Linked DNA regions of Saccharomyces cerevisiae S288C. Changing the gene in region 3 together with the main gene of any one other region gives a genetic interaction. Each region holds a gene or a part of one and is shown on either strand. Other genes may lie near its edges. The genes, in order: MIF2, AME1, CNN1 and OKP1.

Region 1 (5,400 bases), on a different chromosome or scaffold from region 3:
ATAAACAAAAAAAAAAAAAATAAAACATAAAACATAACACAAAATACTCTTTTCTAATGCATTTAAACTTCGGTTTTCACGTCTTCCTCATCCTCTTCGTCTTCCTCGTCATTGCTCTCATCGGATGCTGTTTCATTTAGAGCTTCTTCCTCCTCCTCGTCCTCCTCATCCTCTTCGTCATCCTCATCATCGTCGTCCTCATTGTCAGCACCCTCTTGTTCTTCTTGTTCTTGCTCTTTATCACCAGTTTCCTCGTCCCTAGCTTTCCGTATTTCATTGATTCTCCTCCTAACGATCTCTACAATATCTGTCCATTCTCTCATACCACCCATACCAATATCTCCGCATATTAATACCTTTTCCACCGGTTTCAAAACTTGGATGAACGGATAGTCTTGCACTAAACTCGTCAGGTGTTTCTTTGTCATAGGATTGATATACATGAATGTATTCATTGCAGGCGCAATCAACACTGGGGTCAGTGGTGACCAATCTCTCATCACAGAAGTTAGCAAATTGTTACATATACCATTGGCCAGTTTAGCAAGTGTGTTAGCTGACAAAGGCGCAATCAGGAAAATATCAGCCCATTTTCTTAATTCATGGTGCAATATCAAGTTCAGACTCAAGCTAGTATCATTCTTATTCACAGCGTCGAATACCCAAGCGTCTTCCTCCCTCCAAATTTTAACGTGTGTTGACATTTTGAGCCCTTTCAAAAAATGCTCAGCGGGTTTTGTGACAATCAACTGAATAGAGATTTTCTCAGGCCCATATATCTTGAAAAGTTTATCAATAATTAGAGGTACTTTTATTGTGGCAACTGAGCCCGTCGCACCAATGAGAATGTGGAATTTCTTGTCGTCTTCCTTCTGAAAGAACTCTGTGAAGGGTACACGAGGCCCTGTGGGTGCAGTGATAACTTCCTTGTTTTTATGTGTGGAGTTATTAGCCGATAATGGCGCCGCCTTTGCAGTGATAGGTTTAGAAGCGTTTGACTTGGGATTGAAGTAGATAAAATCACCTGGCATATGAACGATAGAATTTTTTTCCATCGAAGGTGAATCTACTTCATCTTCGCTATTGCTCGTACCACTCGATACCGAATGTTTCCTGATATCAGTACCATCATTAGTAGTGTTCTCCTTAAATATTGCATTCGCTATCCTCTCCTTTTCGTCTATCAGTTGCTGTCTTTCAGTTTGCTTTTTTTGCACTTGCTCCTGAATTTGCTTCACCTCTTCTTGCTGTTTTGCTCGTTGATTTTGCTCCTGCAGTTGTGCCTTTTGCTGCTCTTCTTGTTGTTGATTTTGCTGCAGTTGTTCCTGCTGCTGCTGCTGCTTTCCAGGTTTATTGGATATCGAATATCTATGATACGGCAACCTTTCCACCTCGGGCACCGTAAATGAAACAGCAGAAGGTAATGAAGGTGAAAACCTTTTTTGCTGGCCATTTGTATTAGCTGGCATACTGGTGTTGATCTGTATTTCATGGCCATCTTTGTTCCTTTCACTATTTTGCTTCAGATTGGCAAAAGAGAAATCCCTCAAATTTGTGCTATAATCGTTTTTGTAAATATTCCTCCTATTAGAGTTGGATTTTGATTGATCTTCATGACTATCAGATCTTTCGAAATTTGATTCATCGTGAATACTTTTTCTTCTCTCCTTGTTGGTCAAAATTGAAACCGGCACTTGTGTTGTAGGCAAGGATGAAATTAAGTTAACTCCCTGCTTACCGTTCATATTCTGATCTGAGTTCACTTTTTCATCCGTCATCACACCTAATAACTCTTTGCTGGTCCTTTAGACTTTTATTTAAATATGCTAACTAAGTGTTACTTTACTGTTCTTTCTCTTTTTCTGCTTTTTGTTCTCTCATCTACGAAAGTTCGGTGCGAAATTTTACGTGATTCATTTTCTTACAGAAAAGTTCACATGTTTAACAGTATAAGCGTATGGACCTAGTTATATTTCTTCAGTACATAGCATGCATAATGAGAATATTCACATCATAATTACCCAAAAGTGTCAAACGTACTGTCTAATTCTTTGTCGTTGTCATCGTTAGCGTCTTCTGAAACGGTCACTTGAACGAAGAACATTTTGGCTTCATCATTCCCTCTATTGGCAATCGCGTACTCGTTGAATGCCGGTATTTGGAAAGTGGAACCTTTAACGCTCAAGAACTTGTTCTTACATACAGTTACTTCGACTATTCCCTGTATCACGTGGAACGTAATATATGTCCTAAATGAGTTGCTTAATTTCTTTTGTCCAGAAATAGCTGGTAGTTTTAATATGCCGCTAGCAAAATATTCTTTATGCTTATCGAACATTATCTCAAGGGCAAAATTCTCGTCCTTCGTGTCTTTTACTTGTTCAGTTTGCGACAAATTGGGCGCGAATGCAATAATTTCATCCTTAGTTTCCTCCTTAGTGTCGCTAATTTTCACATTAGCTTCCAGTATTCCATGTTTCAGCCACTCGCCATTTTCTATGCCTCCAGATTCTATCCTTTCTATAATATCCTCGTTGGGATCTTCTGGAATCAAATTTTCCTTTGCATTTGGATCCTTCTTTGGCCTTCCTCTTGGTCTCCCCGTAGGTACGTAGTTGTAAGGTCTGGTTGGTGTAGGTTTTTTTTTTTGTTTCTTCCTTCTTTGTGCTGCCAATATCTCCTCTTCGTCTTCAGATTCATCATATGTGACAATTTTGTCTATGTCAAGAACGGGTTTATTGGACTTCCTCTTATATACTATTTTTTCGTTCCTCCAATACTGCAAAGGCGCCACCTTGACTCTTGTAGATTTCCGAAGCCCGTTTCTATCAATTATTGAATCTGTACGAACCACATCACTCGCTTGTCGTCTTATATAATCATCTTCATTGTCATTTGTGTTCACCTCAGCCTCCTCTTCTACTTCTTGATAGGTGTTATCTCCATCTGAATCACTGGCTGAATCCGAGCCTGAATCCAAAGATGAGTCACTTTCAATGTAATCACCGTCCTCTTCACTTTCAGGTATAAACCCGTCATCTTCTAATTCGTCTTCTAATAATGCGTTATCAGATGTGTTTAAAGAAGTGTTTACTCTATCATCGTCATCCTCATCAGCAACCAAATCAGGTACATCTGAATAAACATTCTTATTAGTGATTCTATCAGGTGTCAACCTTACAGAAGGGCTTTCTGAAGTGTCAAGGCTATACCGAGTGGAGTACTTTCTTTTATATGTAGGTTTACTCAATTTCTGTGTGATTGGTGTGGCAAAATCATTGCCTCTGATATCATTTTCTTCTTGTTCTGGTTCTTCCTCAATAGGCTCGAAATCATTGGCTGGACTCAGGAAGTTTGATTGATGGCTTAACAAAGATGATCGTCTTGATCCATCGCCTTTCCCAGATGGGCTTTGGACAACTTCATCATCTTGAGATTTATATGACTGTAGAAATGGCGGTAATACGTTCTTAGTATCGCCATTTAACGTTGATGGTAAGAAAAGCGATGATTTTCTTCTGCTTTTCCTTCTCATACTGATAAGACTAGTTTCATCATCTTTGAAAAAATCATCAATATTTTCCATGCTGTATTCATCTTTGGGTATATCTTGCTTAACATCAATACCAGTTTTACGGGACTTAAGCCCCAATTTCATATAATCCATGAGTGAAGTGCTGTCCTGTGCTAATGTCTAACTTATTTGTTTAACGTATGTATTTTTCTAACATTCATTTATTTACATCACCATTTCTAACGCGTTATATTATTTTTCTCGAAATTGAGAAAAAACCCAATGCAGTTTAAAGAAGCCTAGCGTTTATAACCTTTATAGAAAAATCAGATAGGTTTTATTTCTTCTTCTTACCCTCAATTCTGAAGTAGGAAGATTCTTCCCAAAATATGTAGTGATTTTTTTCAAGAAAACTTTTAACCTGCAGTCGAACCTTTGAGATCCCGCCGATGCTGTGGATACCTCTACCAGTTACCACGATTAACGGGCTTACAAACTGTACTTTTGAGCCATATGAGTTTATGTTGTGGGAGTTCAACTCTCGTTCTGCTACCTCTTTGGACCACCACTTATTTAATGCAAGTTTCAGTGTTGAAACCGCTTCACTGGGAAGAAAACCATGGAAATCCAATCTGTATGTTTGAAACAGGTTATTTATAACCGGCACAGCTCCCTCGGGGGTTTCTTTGTCATGAAGGGGCAATTTATAAGTATTTCCTACCTCATTTCTGCGGGAAATCTGCGGTGTTGAAAATTTGGGTAAATGTTGCTTACAATTATCTCTGGATGTCAAGGTAAAACCTTCGTCAAAGTTCCAAGTTTTCGTAATATTCTTGTCATCTTCGATCAATAAGGACGATATGTTCAACACCTTTACAACATCTCCATCATAAAATTGCAGGCATTTTTGCAAAAATTCATGGTTTATGGCTTTGAGATCGCGATTATCTGCAACTAATTCATTTAACTCAACCATCTGCGGACTATCCAAGGAGTGCTTATAACTCCTTGGCCTTTTGAGACTCTCTTGAGCAACATTTGCGGATTCTTTACCCTTTTTCAAAACGTGGGCAAGCCCCGTCGATGATTGAACTCGACCACCTCTCACAGTCGTATTAGGACTCCGTTTTACTTTGAAAGTATCCACATCTTTTTTAAAATCCCTTTTGTCGTAATAATCCAAAATGATTTTGATGATCGCCTTTACTGTATCAAAACCATTTTCGGCTAAGTATTCCTGCGCAATATTTTTGGGAGCGTCGGTAAACTTTATTATACTCTCTATGTGATCGTTTGTTGATTCCCAATTATTTTTCTTTTCGTTCCTTTTTACGCTATCAGGAGAATTTGCTTGATTGTCTTTAAGTTTTTGCAGGGTTTCATAATTCAGAAGATCAGAAATAGTCGATTCTACGGACTTCTCATTTATTACAAACTGATCTTTTATAACGCTGCAATCAAGCTGAGGAAACATGTCGTACAGTTGATGTAATTCATTATCAACTGTAGACTTATCGTCGTTTTCTTTTAACAGCAAGCCTATCGTTAAATCCAAATCATTATTGTTTTCAAGTAAATGTACTTGTAATTTGGATTTGGAAATAGCTGGAAACATGTCCATCAAGATTGACAATTTAGATTCATGGTCATCATTGTTATCCATACTCATTGCATGATCTTATATGCACGATAAATGAGGTGTCATAATTGCTTTATATTGATATACTGAAGGCGAATATCGCTGTTGAAATTTGAATTTTTTCGCATTTTTTTTTTTAACAGTGAATATCTTGGTGATAGAGGCAATTTCCAAACTGTGAAAGCAATATATCCTGATACATAATTCAGTACGTATGTTTGTTGATTTATATTTCATACGTATTCCT
Region 2 (4,850 bases), on a different chromosome or scaffold from region 3:
AGCAAGAGAACTAGGGTAAGGTTCATGCTGGTTGTTTTCCTATGATGACCAACCTTTGGAATTGGGTAATTCTAGGTGTAGCCTGCTAGCCATCAAACGAGACCTTTCAAAATCTTCAGTCATTACATTTTCTTCTGTAAATAGGGAAAAAAGCCTTTAGCTAGGATTGTTCGGCAATAGAAAGCCCTCCAGTTTAAACTTGACATAGAAAATCTTTAAGGTTAAATCAAACATAAGTTATTATCCGATATAGTGTAACGGCTATCACATCACGCTTTCACCGTGGAGACCGGGGTTCGACTCCCCGTATCGGAGTTATTTTTTGTTTCTATACCATTATTTTTCTTGAATGTTGCATTATGATAGTATAGTTTTGCTATACAAACTTCAATTCTCAAAACACAGTACGTCTAGCTCACTACTACTCTCTCTAATTCAAAATCGTTCACTTCTATCGAAAGCTGTGATAATTTGGAAATATTGTCGTGGGCCACGAATGATTTTTCAATTACATTGCTAAATACGAAGACATTAATACCTTTATTCATATAAGCACTTTCATTATCATTTTTTACTAAAGATAAAACTAACTGCAGGCACCAAGAAGTTCGAAGCCAAGAGTAAAGATGTCAGGAACCGGATTATCGCTATTCGTGACGGGTCTTATACTGAATTGTTTGAATTCCATTTGCCAGATATACTTTACTATATTATATGGTGATCTTGAAGCAGACTATATCAACTCAATCGAACTGTGTAAGAGGGTGAATAGGTTGAGTGTACCAGAGGCAATTCTACAAGCTTTCATTTCTGCATTGTTTCTTTTTAACGGGTACTGGTTCGTATTTCTCTTGAATGTCCCTGTTCTAGCATATAACGCAAGTAAAGTCTACAAGAAAACACATCTACTGGACGCCACGGATATTTTCAGAAAATTGGGTAGATGCAAAATTGAATGCTTTTTAAAATTGGGATTTTACCTTCTCATATTCTTTTTCTACTTCTACAGAATGGTCACAGCGTTACTTGAAAATGATGCAAATTTGATAAGCTAATAGCGACAACAGGAAAAAAAAAGAGAGATTTGTGCATATCTATGAAGTATGTCTACCACATAAAAATGACCTTATAACACAACTTCCTTAGTATGGAAGTAATACATATATACATATATACATATATACATACATATATATATATATATATATATATATACATCTTTTGAACCAATTCCCTATAGACTTGGTTGTAATTCGTTAGAAAGATTTTCATTAATTTTATTTATCTTTTTCAGAAGTCCGTTATATGGATCCATCAAGTCTACGAAATGTGCAATATCCAGAATATTTGAGTCATCCCGTATTGAATCGTCCTCGCTATCTTGGCTCATAATTTTGCGATCTCCCTCGTATTTGCCTAGCAAAGTAGAAGTCAAATCATTTAGCCTCTTATTTAGCTTCACTTTGTCGTTCAGTTTGGCTTGTTCATTTTGTAAGTCATGCCAGTCTTTACCGGCTTTCAACTCTTGAATTTCATTTCGTACCGATATTATCTGCTGGTTCAAATCTTCTTTTCGAGCAAGTACCTGCTTCAGTTGGTAGCAGAGCTCATTATTCGACACGTTGATATCTAATATGTCTTTCAAGTCTCTGGTCATTTGGTCTGATATCGTTTGAAAGAGTCGCAGATCTAATTTGTACAATAGTTTCCTAAATTGATCATCATCACTTTTATTGAAATCCTTCAAAGCTTGCGGAATCAAATCATTTTCAAATAAGTTTATGAATAAAGAAGATAAAACATCAATTGTGGTCACAGAAGTGATAGACGATGATAGCTGTCTAATGGGTATATCATCGAAATTGTAACGAGTAGTAAGGTCTTCATCATTTCTAACATTTTGCGGCGATTCGCTTATAAGACTTTTATTTTCAGAGTCGATCATGGGATAGTCTTCTGCATCCAAGGGCTGATACCCATGTTCATGACGGTCCTGCGCATTTACGTTATTAGTGGTAATAGGAAACTCGAAAGAATTCGCAAGTTTTGGTGAAGACAAAATGGGTTGAACAGGAGATTGAATAGGTGAGTTCTCCTCTCTATAAACAGCATTTGGCGTCTTAAATACAATAACATCATCATCTATATCGTCTGTCCTTCTTGAATGACTGCCCCTCAGCCTAAAAGCTAATTTAGTGTCTCTATCCATACTGAGGTTTTTCTTTAAATGAACACGCAAATAGTCAAGACAATACAGAGCAACACAGGACACGTAAAAAAATGAGAGCAATCGCTTCTTATACTGCAACGATGTTGACCCTTGCCATAATAGCTAATGAAATCAATCATTATCATTTCTACTAGTCCTTTAACAATATTTGGATACACCATTAAATTTCTCCGTACAACACGATAAAATATTTTCTACCAGCTTCAAACGGCTGTGAAGGGGCGATAGTGCCGTTCCAAAAAGCGTTCCCCAAACTTGTATTCAAGACCAAATCTTAGTCAAGCAAGCAGTTTCGCACCTTCATACACTCCATTAAAAGTGAAAATAAGCATATTTGTAATTAAATCTGGTTATCATACCCTGTTCCCTTTAGAACCAATATACATAGACGCAGTCGACAAAGAAGCAATAAAAGAGATTACCATTCTTATTCACTATTTTTTTTTTTCTCTGACTCTTCATAGTTGTACGGAAAACCATCTGCGTGTTATATCCTAGTTCCAAATATTCTGATTTCTCGTGATCGAATCTGTTATATTGTCATATATTGTAATTCCATTTTTTTCCCGGTTCATTTTTTGATATTCTCTTCCTGTTCCAATATTAATAAAGGAGGCTTTTTTCTTTCCCTTTCGTTCTGATTTATATTGTTTTTACTATTATTGGATCTTTTAAATATTACAGCTTTTTCATATCCTTCGCCATCGATTTTTGCCTGAAAAATTTACACAAATGATGTCTAACGTTGCTAACGCCTCCCAAAGACAGGAAAATCCATATATTATTCCATTGCCTCCTTCATCCACAGTGGAAACTTCTACTGAACCCCCAAGAACGTTATGGATGGGAGATTTGGATCCGTCCTTCGACGAGGCCACGATTGAGGAGATATGGTCAAAACTGGATAAAAAAGTTATCGTTAAACTAATTAGAGCCAAAAAAAATTTGTTGATTCCTTGTAGCTCCACCTCAAGTAGTAATAACAACACAAGTGAGGAGAATGCTGAAAACCAGCAATCTGCATCAAACAGCACTGATCAGTTAGATAATTCCCAAATGATTAATATTAATGGAATATCCTTCATTGATCCTTCCACTACTCAATTACATCATGCCGGATACTGTTTTGTCGAATTTGAAACTCAAAAGGACGCTAAATTTGCCCTGTCATTAAATGCTACACCTTTACCTAATTTTTATTCCCCAACAACTAACTCCCAAACTAATCCAACGTTCAAAAGGACTTTCAGATTGAATTGGGCGTCTGGAGCTACTTTACAAAGTTCTATACCATCTACCCCAGAATTTTCCTTGTTTGTTGGTGATCTTTCTCCCACCGCCACTGAAGCTGATTTGTTATCTCTTTTCCAAACGAGGTTCAAATCTGTTAAAACCGTCCGCGTGATGACTGACCCTTTAACAGGATCATCTCGTTGTTTTGGATTTGTCAGATTCGGTGATGAAGATGAGCGCCGCAGGGCACTGATTGAGATGAGTGGGAAATGGTTTCAAGGAAGGGCCTTAAGAGTCGCTTATGCCACGCCAAGAAATAATATGATGCTGCAGTTACAGGAACAACAACAACAGCAACAACAATTGCAGCAACAGCATCAGCAGCTAGATCAGGAGGATAATAATGGCCCTCTCTTGATTAAGACTGCAAATAATCTCATTCAAAACAATAGCAACATGCTTCCTCTCAATGCCTTGCATAACGCGCCTCCAATGCATTTGAATGAGGGCGGCATTTCAAACATGCGTGTAAATGATTCACTACCTTCAAACACCTATAATACAGACCCCACTAATACTACTGTTTTTGTGGGAGGACTGGTACCAAAAACTACCGAATTTCAATTACGTTCACTATTCAAACCCTTTGGACCCATTCTAAATGTCAGGATTCCCAATGGTAAAAACTGTGGGTTTGTTAAATTCGAGAAGAGGATTGATGCTGAAGCTTCAATACAAGGCCTGCAAGGCTTTATTGTGGGCGGCAGTCCAATAAGATTATCATGGGGACGCCCATCCAGTTCAAATGCTAAAACAAATTCGACCATCATGGGGGCAAGCCAATATATGTCCTCAAATGGCCTGAGAGCGCCATCTGCGGCTTCTTCAGTCGATAACTCCAAACAAATTCTTGAACAATATGCGGAAGATAAAAGGCGACTCTTTTTACATCAGCAGCAGCAGCAGCAGCAGCAGCAGCAACAGGATGGTAACTTTTCTATGGAGCAAATGGCGCACAACAACTATTACAACTACAATAATTACGATTATCACAGGAACAAGAATGGCAGCCATAGCGACCTCGTTAATCTGCAGAGATCTAATGTCCCGTATATGCAAGAAGACGGTGCACTGTACCCACACCAATATTCAAGTCCCTCATACTCGCTCCATCCGACGGGCAACCAATTCTCCAATGCTACTAATAACTTACCTCAATTTGGGAACGCGATGTCAATTTCTATGCAACTGCCCAATGGCAACAGCAATAAAACGGCCTCAAGCATGAACACAAACCCTAACACAAACATGATCATGAATTCTAACATGAACATGAACATGAACGTAAATCCAGTACCATACGGAATGGGAAACGGTGCAAATATGT
Region 3 (5,063 bases):
GAAGGGTACCGCTTTCGAAATCATTTTACCTCAGATTAAGTCGTACTTTGTTGGCTGCTCTGCCCTAAACGTGGCCGCATTTGGTAAGACTATTTTAAGGTTCGTTACGTTCGACAAGTTATGCCACTCCCTGAATAATAACATTGATAATAATGATAATTTTCAAAGACTGACTGGTTATAACCTTTTGATCGCTGGTACGTTGACAGGAATAGTAGAAAGTTTGTTTATTATCCCTTTTGAAAACATAAAAACCACCCTTATCCAATCGGCGATGATCGATCATAAAAAATTAGAGAAGAATCAACCTGTAGTTAACGCAAAGGCAACCTTTCACAAGGTGGCGACTAAATCTACTCCTGTGGCTCGTATCGAGAAACTACTTCCAGCGGTAAAACACATGTATCAAACAAGAGGCCCTGCTGCGTTCGTCCAGGGAACAACAGCCACCATATTTAGGCAGATAGCTAACACCTCTATTCAATTTACTGCATACACAGCATTTAAACGGTTGTTACAAGCAAGAAACGACAAGGCATCCTCAGTAATAACGGGGTTAGCCACATCTTTTACACTCGTGGCAATGACTCAGCCCATTGACGTCGTAAAAACAAGGATGATGAGTCAAAATGCCAAAACTGAATATAAAAATACCTTAAATTGCATGTATAGAATATTTGTTCAAGAAGGCATGGCCACATTCTGGAAGGGCTCCATCTTTAGGTTTATGAAAGTCGGTATTTCAGGAGGCTTAACGTTCACTGTTTATGAACAGGTTAGTTTGTTACTAGGCTTCTCTTCCAGGTCTTGATAATTTTGTGGATCTTTTACTCTTTTCTGTACATAAATTGCCACTATTTAATTATTTTCTCTACGGTATCTTTTTTAGAACAAATAACTTTCAATTCTTGATTGAAGTTCTAAGGGAAGCAATTCGTGCGCGAGCTCAAACATATCATCAACGTTATTGATAATACCCATATCGATAAACGAATCTACCAATTCCTGTTTTTGTAACGTGCCGATTTTTTGTTTCAAGAAATCCATTATATTTAAAGATTCCTCCTGTATAGTAGACCACGTTTGTTTCGGCAATATTATCCTATTCTCATTCAAAAATTGCCTTGTAAGATGTTTTAGATCCATTATTTGCAGCGGTTTTATAGAAGAACGTCTCACCGCAGGGACATTTAAACGGATAGGATCGTTGCCTATATCATCCAAATTTTCGTCACTGGTGTTTTCAAACGAATAATCTTCGTTTTCTGCTTCTTCTGTCTCCTCTTTATCGTCGCTTGGTAAATCTTCAGATAGTGGTTCTTCCTGTTGCGTTATGGAAATTGGTACCGGATCACGTACTGGCGGTTCATCTACCTGATCCATTCCAATGCTTGGCGACGTGCGCAAAACTTCCATAGAGATACTGTTAGCTTTATCTGGAGAGTGCACTGTCAATTCATCCTCGTGTCCTGTCGTGGGAACATCTTGTATTATTATCGGGTCAATCTTCCTACTTTTCAAGCCTTTGTCTCTTTCCTGCAATTTTGCAAATACTGTTTGCGATAAGGAAGTATAATCAGGTTGCGTTTCATTGCCAATGTTGTTATCTGTCAGTTTCTCACTTCTGCTCCGAAGAAGCTCATTCTCCTCTGGTTGGCTCTCTTCGTACGCTAATTCATCTATTAGATTCCGTGCTTGAGTTTTATTAGTAGTTGTATCGTTGCCTTGTGATTTGCGTGCTAACACTTGGCTTAAGTCTTGTAAAAAACTTCGTACTTCGTTCGGATCTTTATTGAGGATGTCATGAGACTTAGTAGAAGCAGATAAAAGTTTTCTATAACCTGGCGTATTTCTGATCAGTACCTCATCCTTGAGACGTTGTTCTTCAAGGGCTCTCTCCCGAAAGGGGGTTCTGATCTCTGAGACTTCTGTATTCTCGTTGTTACCGGCGGCCTTCCTGGGAGTGCTCATTATTCATTTCTTATTTCGTTACTAATCGTCGTGTGTGTCATTAATCGGTAACGCGTAGCTTCTTAATCTTATTTAGAATATGTAAATAAAAAAAAGTAAAAATCGAAGCCTAAGCATTTTCAATGAGCCAGTTTCAATGAGAAATCAATCACTGGTGTGCCTTGATGAATGCTACTAGTGCTGTAAATGTCAATGTCATCGCACAAATACTCCTCGAGGTTGTCCAAATTCAAGCCTCCACTACATTCCAAGAGGAAATGCTTTTTACCATTCCATTTGTTCTTAAGACTTTGGGCGCACATTTTCAAACCGTCACCTTTGAAATTATCCAACATGATAACGTCTGCACCAGCTTCAATGGCCTCTGTGGCTTCATCTTCACTCAAACACTCCACTTCGATCTTCACAGCAAACCCGCACACGGCCCTGGCGTTCTTAACTGCGTTTGTTATAGAACCAGTAGCCCAAATATGATTATCTTTGAGCATGACCATAGAGGAAAGGTCGTATCTGTGCGTGTCGCAGCCACCTACAAGCATGGAATACTTTTCTAATCTACGTAAACCTGGTGTAGTCTTTCTTGTCCCCGCAATGGTCCCCTTGTAACCAGTCGAACGCGCCAAACTGATTATCTTATGTGAGGCGGTGGCAATTCCACTACTTCTACTAAGGATGTTCAAGGCGGTTCTTTCAGCTAATAGAATGTTTTTAGCGGGCCCAGTAATTTTAGCTACAACAATCTTACCAGAGTCATTCTTCGAAGGCTCCAAGAAGGAGCCTTCCTTAAACAACCACTCAACTTGCAATTCGCACTGATTAAAGACTTCTTGCGCAAAGGGGACACCACACAGCATACCATCCTGCTTACAGTACAAATTGGCCTCCTTTAGGTCGGAACCAACAACATATCCACCAAAATCAAAAGAAGGAACGTCCTCGCTCAGCCAATTGGTGACGTCTTGTCTCCATGCTCCATTAACGGGCAATAAGTGTTCATAAACAGGCATTTTTTTTTTTTGGTGTGTGTTCTTTCTGAGGATTGCGTTCTTTTTGTTGCGTTATTAAGTGGTGTCTTTAATTTTCGAATTTATGGCCCAAGATATACGAAAACTGCGGTAGGAGTCATGATAAATGGGGGCTCTTCAACCAACCGGCGTCACCAAAAGCAAAAATATCCTGGAGCGAAATATCACATTGTTTGTAACCAAGCTTGTACCTTTGACAAGTTAACTTACGTCTTGCCGGGGTTTGCTACTACGCATTCAAGTATATAAAACGTTGTGACACACAAGTTGATAGAAACCTCAGGATGTATAACTACAATTCTAGTTTCCATCTCATTAGTCCCAAATGACAATAAAAAAAATTACTGGCCATGGAAGATGACAAGCCGAATATTAGCTCCTTCGATCGAACTGTGCGTGGAGAAGAAGCTACTACTATTTAATAATTAGTATCCCGTGATTTTGAGCTGTCGCTGGCATTATGTACCTGACATTAGGTATTTAGGAAAGGTAGGGTAGATCAGTTTAGTACCTCAATGGGTGCGGAAGGTTAATCTTGAAAAATTTGCGATTAGTAGACAAGTTTATTCTCACAAGAACAAAATATTCAGTTCATTTCAGATATGATCGTGAAGGTGGAAATCTTTTTTTTAAAAATGAGAAGTGTGCCCAACAAAGAAGTAAAAGACAAGTTAGCTTTCTGTCATGCTTGAAAACTTTATGGAAGCCTGTGCATTGGCATTAGAGGCATCTCCGACAATCAGAAGAACACTTCTTGTTATTATAATTACCCATATATTTTTTTTTTTTTCAAATTGACTACTAGGAAAAAGTGACAATTTATAGTAAAACTGGCTAGAAAAACCTACAAGAAAAACAAAACCAGGTTAGGCATACATTAATACAAGATTATATCAATCGGAAGTTCGTATGCAAAATTGCATATGGAGCAAAGGAAAGGACTTCCATTTAAGACGACAGTATGAGTTATAAGGCTAACCAACCATCTCCTGGGGAGATGCCGAAAAGGTCACCTTCCATCCTGGTGACAGATGCAAGAACATCCAAGAATAGAATGAGTGCACCGTTCGCTGGACACGCTGCTGGTAGTAGGAAGAATATGGAAAACGCAGGAGTTACGAAGTCTCAAGGAGTTCGCTCTTCCGCTATTGGCCCTTCTCCGCTGCAGAGTTTTACTCATCCAAGAAGGCGATCGTCTGGCAGGTTTAGCGATATATCCATAGATAATATTCTTTCTGATAATTCAGATATTCCCTCTGCCAGAAGAGAGGAAAGGCTATCCAGCTCTTCAAGCGATAGGCCTCGCCAATATGAGCGGTTAAGTTCGCGTAGAAAGATGATCAATCCCCTGCCTCCAAGAACATCGAAGACGTCACAAAAGTTAGTGTTGATACCGGAAGACGACAACTTGAACCACTTTCAAACTCTACCAACGAACGCGCTGGATAGGCAAAGACCGAAAGTGGGCTCTATGAAGTCTAATTCCTTCGATCGGCTACCTCGATACTCAAAAGAAAAGTCCATGGCAAGAATCACCGCATATAATGTTGCTGATGGCTTCAATCTCAACCAATTGTATAAGTTTCTGCAGGAAACTCATGAGGTTTCACCAAGATTGTATGATGAGTGTCTATACGTTGCGTATACTTTGCCACTTCTACCAGGTAAAGGCGGTTTTAGAATCAAATCAAATTTATCTAAGAAAACAATGGGTGGAAAGACATTAATTGATAATTTAATTGATACAAGCGAACAGAGAGATCATCATTATGAATATTACTCAGGTGTGGAAACTGTGGAAGATGCAAATAATAATTACGAACTAGAAACCAGTGGAAATAACAATAACGCTAATCAAGACACCACAACAGTTCCCGATCATCTACCAAATCCAGTTGGTCAGCAAGACTCTTTTAATCCTATGGAACCACAATTTTTTGCGGAAGAAACTCCCTTAGAGATAGAGAAACGGGAAAGGACAGAAAGAATAAACATGCTGAAGAAGGAGGAAAACGACAGTGATGCAAGTTGTGGCAACGATAATAATAATAAAAATAATGATAAGAG
Region 4 (5,118 bases), on a different chromosome or scaffold from region 3:
GAGTTGGTGGAGCTATCTCTTTTCCTAAAGTTTCCCTTCATATTGTTTCAATGTAATGAACTCCTTTAATTACTTCCGTGACTGAGGATGTCAGTTTTTATATCAAATCAATTTTCAAAGATTTAATTATTGCTTCCCCTTCAAGATCAATTCGGAAATAATCGAAACGTCTTCTGGAAAGAACAAAAAGAAAGATAGAAGAAAACGCGAGTGAATGACCTATATCTTCCTTAAAGATCTATGCGATGAGAGATGCCGATTTAAGAACTGCTTTACAAAAACGCAAATCTCAAGTAAAGAAAGTGCCTCCCAATTGAGCTTTCCTTCCTTCTTTATTTTTTTTTTTTTCCAGTTTTTCATAATTTGTTGTGGCTCTCCAAGGTTTTCTGAGGCTCGTTGGCGGAGAAGTTACGTAACCCGGATGCTAATAGTGCATGATTATATATCAAATATTTAGTTATATGCATCGTAATCGTAAACTCTGAAACAATGGATTATCGCTAGTGTATATCTTCTTCGGTCTTATCTTGGTGCGACTCATGGTGCGGTACAAAAACCTCTTTGATTTCTTCTTCATGTGAATCCGAAATCATTTGACCCATTGTTTCCTTAAGTTCCTTTGATTTCTTCGTATATTCTTTCAAAGAAGGTAACAACGACAGTACTTCCTCCTTATCAAGCCTCACATCGGCTGTACTTTTTATGGGGTCGTTCAACATCAGGTTCAATTCGTGGCTATCATTTCTAAAAGTTACTGGGCCATCAGGATGCATAAATCCATTAGTAGATTCTAAGCCATATGTATATTCCATTGCTTTGTTAAGTACTGGATGCAGATCTTTTTGTATTAGCTTCTCAGTGAGTCGTTTCTTGTTGTTTGTTTTTAAATTCATGCACAACTTCCTAGTTTCCTCCAAAAGGTTTTGTTCACGTGAAAGAATTGCTTCCAATCTCTCATTATTTTGTAGTTCTTGTGAATACCGGTTTTGAATAAATTGTCGCTTAGAATAAATATACTCGATGTCTAGATCTCTTTCCGATATCCTAGAGGGAAATTTGGCCTGTCTTAGCTTCTTCTTTATCTTTGTGAGGATTATTTCAAGCAAACGTTCCTTCTTAGAATATATTCTTTTAACCTCATTATTATCGCCATGCGTCATTTGGTTCATTTCCTTTTCGTACTTCTCAAAGACAGAATCAAGAGCGCTTACAGTGTTAGTCTCTAATAAACGAAGTATGGATCCTATCATTATTTTAGAAGGCTTTTTCCAATGCTTTAATTCATAATTGCGCGGCAACCTTTCTCTATACTCAGCTTGTATTACCTTCCTGAATTCCCAAGGTCGTACATTGCCCTCTCCACTTGTTGCGCTTCCATCCGATAGATGAGATTGCAATTTACCTGTACTTTCCTTGCCAACCTCAAATCGAAGTTGTTTAGATCCTTTATGATGGTATTGTCCTTCTTCTTTGTTCGTGCGCTCTTCTATTTCTCCTTCTTCAGCATCATCAGAGTTCTCATAAAAAAGCGACTTCTTTGATTGGGTGCTTTTAGCTTCTGGTGCTACGTCCAGACGTAAAGTTTTAATATCATTCACATTCATGAGAATGCTGCTATCGCTTTCAGAGGAACTTCGGTTGGGTGACAGATCCATGGCCTGGCCATTGTTAATTGAATCATTTTCAATATTTTGTAAAAAATTATCTCTATCAGCTGCCATACAGTATACGTAGCACTAGTATCGCTTGAATTATTCGTCCATAGGGTGCAAGTTACCTCATCCATTGTTGCTATGTACCTCTATCTGTATTAACTTCGAGGTAGTAAACAAATGGGTGGACCGTATTGTGACTCTCCGGGTAACAAAAATATGTTATTTAAATGAAATGACCGGGATGATGGTACTCTCTGAATCTTTCCCTTATCTACCTACAAGAAAATGGCAAATATTGTCATAATAAATATAAAAAAAAACTGTAGTTTCTTTTTAAATTTTTCTACTTAAGTTTAGTTATACTGTACCTAGGTATATATAAATATATATAAATAAAAGTGGCCAAGAATAAAAGAACGCACCCCGTCGTTGACTTAGAAGTCATCATCAAAGTTAATTTCCTTGGATGGGGTAGCGGACTTAGACATGTCACTGGCCTTTTGGTAGTCGGAAACCTTCTTTTCAAAGAAGGTGGTCTTACCAGCGGTAGCGACATCCTCCATGAATTCGAATGGGTTGACGGCGTTGTAGTATTTTTCGTTACCGAAACCTTGTAATAGACCGTCAGCGACAAATTCTATGTAGGTGTGAATGCTCTTCAAATCCATACCAAATTTTTCTACTGGCAAAGAGTTTGAGTAGTATTCCTTTTCAATTTCCACGGCTTCGGTAATGATTTTTTCAATGATCTTGGGGTTTGGCTTGGTTCTCAAATGGGCAAATAGCAAGCATGAAAAGTCAGTGTAGGCACCTCTGTCTCTACAGATGTTTCTGTTGGCCATTGCTAAACCTGGCATAATCTTTTTGTCAGTCAACCAGAACATAGAAGCATAGTTACCAGCTTGGAAAATACCTTCCTTTGCAGCAAATGCTACTAGTCTTTCAGCATACAAGCTGTCATCGTTGGAAATCCATCTCTCGATGAAAGCAGCCTTATGCTTGACTTCAGGCAAATTGGCAATTTCCTTGAATAGAGGGATGTTCTTAGGGTCCTTGAAGAAGGCATCAACCATCATGGAGTAAACTTCAGAGTAGATGTTTTCCATCATAATCTGGAACCCGTAGAAACTCTTACCTTCAGGGTTTTGCAATTGGGCAGAAAAGTTTTCGATCAAGTACTTGTTGACAAGGTTGTCAGAAGAAATGGACAAGGCTAACAAGTTACCGATGTAGGTCTTCTGGTCATCAGTCAATTTTTGGAAATCTTCAGTGTCCTTAGCCAATTCGATTTCTTCCGCAGTCCAGAAAGAGGCTTCAACCTTCTTGTAAGCAGCCCAGATTTCGTGGTATTTGATAGGGAACATCACGAATCTACGGCTGTTTTCCATCAAAAGGATTTCATCCTTTTCAGCTTCTTTCATATCATGACGTTCTTTTTGGAAAGTCTTCAAAAATTGGTTATGTGCTTCCATTGTAATAACTAATTGTGTGCGTTGCGCGGGGTTGTGTGGCTCAAAAAGATCTGTTTTTGTATTAGCAATTTTTTATTTCCCTTTTTAAATGAATTTTTTTTCTTTCTGTTTCGAGACAAGGCCTTTTGCAAAAAAAAAAAAAGTAAAAAAGTGAAATTTGATAGTGTAAGGGGACAGAGGTGGGGTCAGAAACCAATGTATCTATTGATAGTCTTTTTTTGATCGAAAAGCCAAGAGACAAAAAATGAAGAAAATGAGAGATAAGGAATGAAACTTTAGGAACATTGAAGATTCAATCGCCGTTTTTATACGCCAGAGCTTCATGAGACCAAGGAAGGAACGGACGTCGTCTACCGATTACAGTAAGCAAAGAGGATGGTGTTGCCACAACAACGCCCATCGGGAAGGCAAGAGACGCTGTGGTGAACAATAACTGCCAAAACGTGGTTCTCGCACGCTGAAAAGCGCGTTCTCGTGCGCCGCTTTCAGTGTGCTAGAACTTGCACTGTCCGGTTTCCGGTGCTTGGTGTTGGGTGGTCGTACCTGCTAGTTCCATTGGTGCGGTGTATGGGCGGGTACCCTCAAAAAGGGAAACGAAGGTAGGCGCACGGTGCTTATTAAGCTCAGAGGCGACCTCGCAGAAGGGGGCAGACCACACAAGCGGTGGAGGCGCTCCAGATATTCAGTGGAGTGGGGCTTGCTCATGTTCTGTTGTTGGTTTTGGATAGAAAAAGAGCGGGTTGAATAGTTTGCCATGGCAACCACTCTGGAAGCGAAATCACATAGACGCGTAAACACTCACACACAGGATATTCGTATAGCAAGGTACTAGTGGCGACACTCAGGTGGTCCTCGTTGCCTTATCTCCAGATTCCTCAATTTCTGTGAAACGTAAACATTATGGGAATAGTCTAGACGCGTACTTCATTTTCTTTGTTTCGTGAAAAGTACACTTTCCCGTCTTCGCCGGTTCCCTTTCTTGCCTGAAATGCTCGTTCTAATGGAAAAAAAAAGAAATAAAGGTGGGCCTGCCCATTAGCAGGAAATTGGTACTTAATTATTGAAAAAAAAATTATTGGTTGCTAAGAGATTCGAACTCTTGCATCTTACGATACCTGAGTATTCCCACAGTTAACTGCGGTCAAGATATTTCTTGAATCAGGCGCCTTAGACCGCTCGGCCAAACAACCACTTATTTGTTGAAAGCGAGCGCGGTACAAGTAATGTTACCTCATCTGATATACAATAAAGGTGGAGCGCCAATATATACGCATTTGACTGTTCATAATTCATTGAATATAATTTATTCCTTGTTAGTACAAAAGGGTTAAACAGAAAAAGACGTGACGTTGTAACCGAGAGGATGGTAACACCGCGGTATCACCCACTCGCCCAGCCGTTAAATCCAATCATCCGAATAAAATGTTTGTCCTTGCTAGTTTGTCCTGGTGATAAAAGCCATGACCACTTTTCTTGGAGCCTGCATCTGTTATCTCTCCCGTCGATAATGGACTTTGCACCGGTGTATTACCCGCAAGAATTCTGATAACGTTCAAGCTAAAACAAAACTGCTAAATGAGTTCTGAAATGGCATTTATGAGTACATATGATAGATTTGCTATGTATCAAACCTGGAACTGGCGCTAGCGCTATGGTTTCACTTCCTCATTAAACCATACCCTTGACGATTTGACAGGTCGCTACAGATTCAGAAAGAGATCATATCAATACAACAAATAAAATATAAGCGAATAAAGAGCAATGTCTTTCCCCTTTAGTCACATTACTAGCCAACGCTAATTCTTGATCTCCTTCCTCTTGTTTCCGGTGTATCTTAGTTTTCCTGGCGTTGCCGAAGAGTAAAAAAATCCTAGGTCCTAAGATTTATAAAATCGACAAAAAGAGGATTCAAGTAGGATATCTGTCAGTTCAAACCAATCAATCTTTTCTCTCCAACAACAGTTTGAGCTTATTTAATCAAGAAAATGGGT

The links.
Region 1: mutations in CNN1 (region 3) and MIF2 impair growth when combined (synthetic growth defect), as found in Saccharomyces cerevisiae (4 studies listed by BioGRID, with this or other methods).
Region 2: mutations in CNN1 (region 3) and AME1 together harm fitness more than expected from each alone (negative genetic interaction), as found in Saccharomyces cerevisiae (3 studies listed by BioGRID, with this or other methods).
Region 4: mutations in CNN1 (region 3) and OKP1 impair growth when combined (synthetic growth defect), as found in Saccharomyces cerevisiae (3 studies listed by BioGRID, with this or other methods).

What each region holds. Positions count from the first base shown.
Region 1 is NC_001143.9:271,661-277,060, reverse strand, and holds MIF2 (Mif2p), read right to left. Parts: upstream 3,668-5,400; coding exon 2,018-3,667; downstream 1-2,017. Other genes in the region: phosphopantothenoylcysteine decarboxylase complex subunit CAB3, read right to left, coding at 63-1,778; CUE2 (Cue2p), read right to left, coding at 3,852-5,183. UniProt on the Saccharomyces cerevisiae protein: Component of the kinetochore, a multiprotein complex that assembles on centromeric DNA and attaches chromosomes to spindle microtubules, mediating chromosome segregation and sister chromatid segregation during meiosis and mitosis.
Region 2 is NC_001134.8:644,924-649,773, forward strand, and holds AME1 (Ame1p), read right to left. Parts: upstream 2,210-4,850; coding exon 1,235-2,209; downstream 1-1,234. Other genes in the region: ERV15 (Erv15p), read left to right, coding at 627-1,055; NGR1 (Ngr1p), read left to right, coding at 2,963-4,850.
Region 3 is NC_001138.5:242,189-247,251, forward strand, and holds CNN1 (centromere-binding protein CNN1), read right to left. Parts: upstream 1,972-5,063; coding exon 886-1,971; downstream 1-885. Other genes in the region: MRX20 (Mrx20p), read left to right, coding at 1-811; BNA6 (nicotinate-nucleotide diphosphorylase (carboxylating)), read right to left, coding at 2,091-2,978; RMD8 (Rmd8p), read left to right, coding at 3,958-5,063. UniProt on the Saccharomyces cerevisiae protein: Component of the kinetochore, a multiprotein complex that assembles on centromeric DNA and attaches chromosomes to spindle microtubules, mediating chromosome segregation and sister chromatid segregation during meiosis and mitosis.
Region 4 is NC_001139.9:853,175-858,292, forward strand, and holds OKP1 (Okp1p), read right to left. Parts: upstream 1,722-5,118; coding exon 501-1,721; downstream 1-500. Other genes in the region: PBP1 (Pbp1p), read right to left, coding at 1-41; ribonucleotide-diphosphate reductase subunit RNR4, read right to left, coding at 2,090-3,127; protein translocase subunit TIM13, read left to right, coding at 5,113-5,118. UniProt on the Saccharomyces cerevisiae protein: Component of the kinetochore, a multiprotein complex that assembles on centromeric DNA and attaches chromosomes to spindle microtubules, mediating chromosome segregation and sister chromatid segregation during meiosis and mitosis.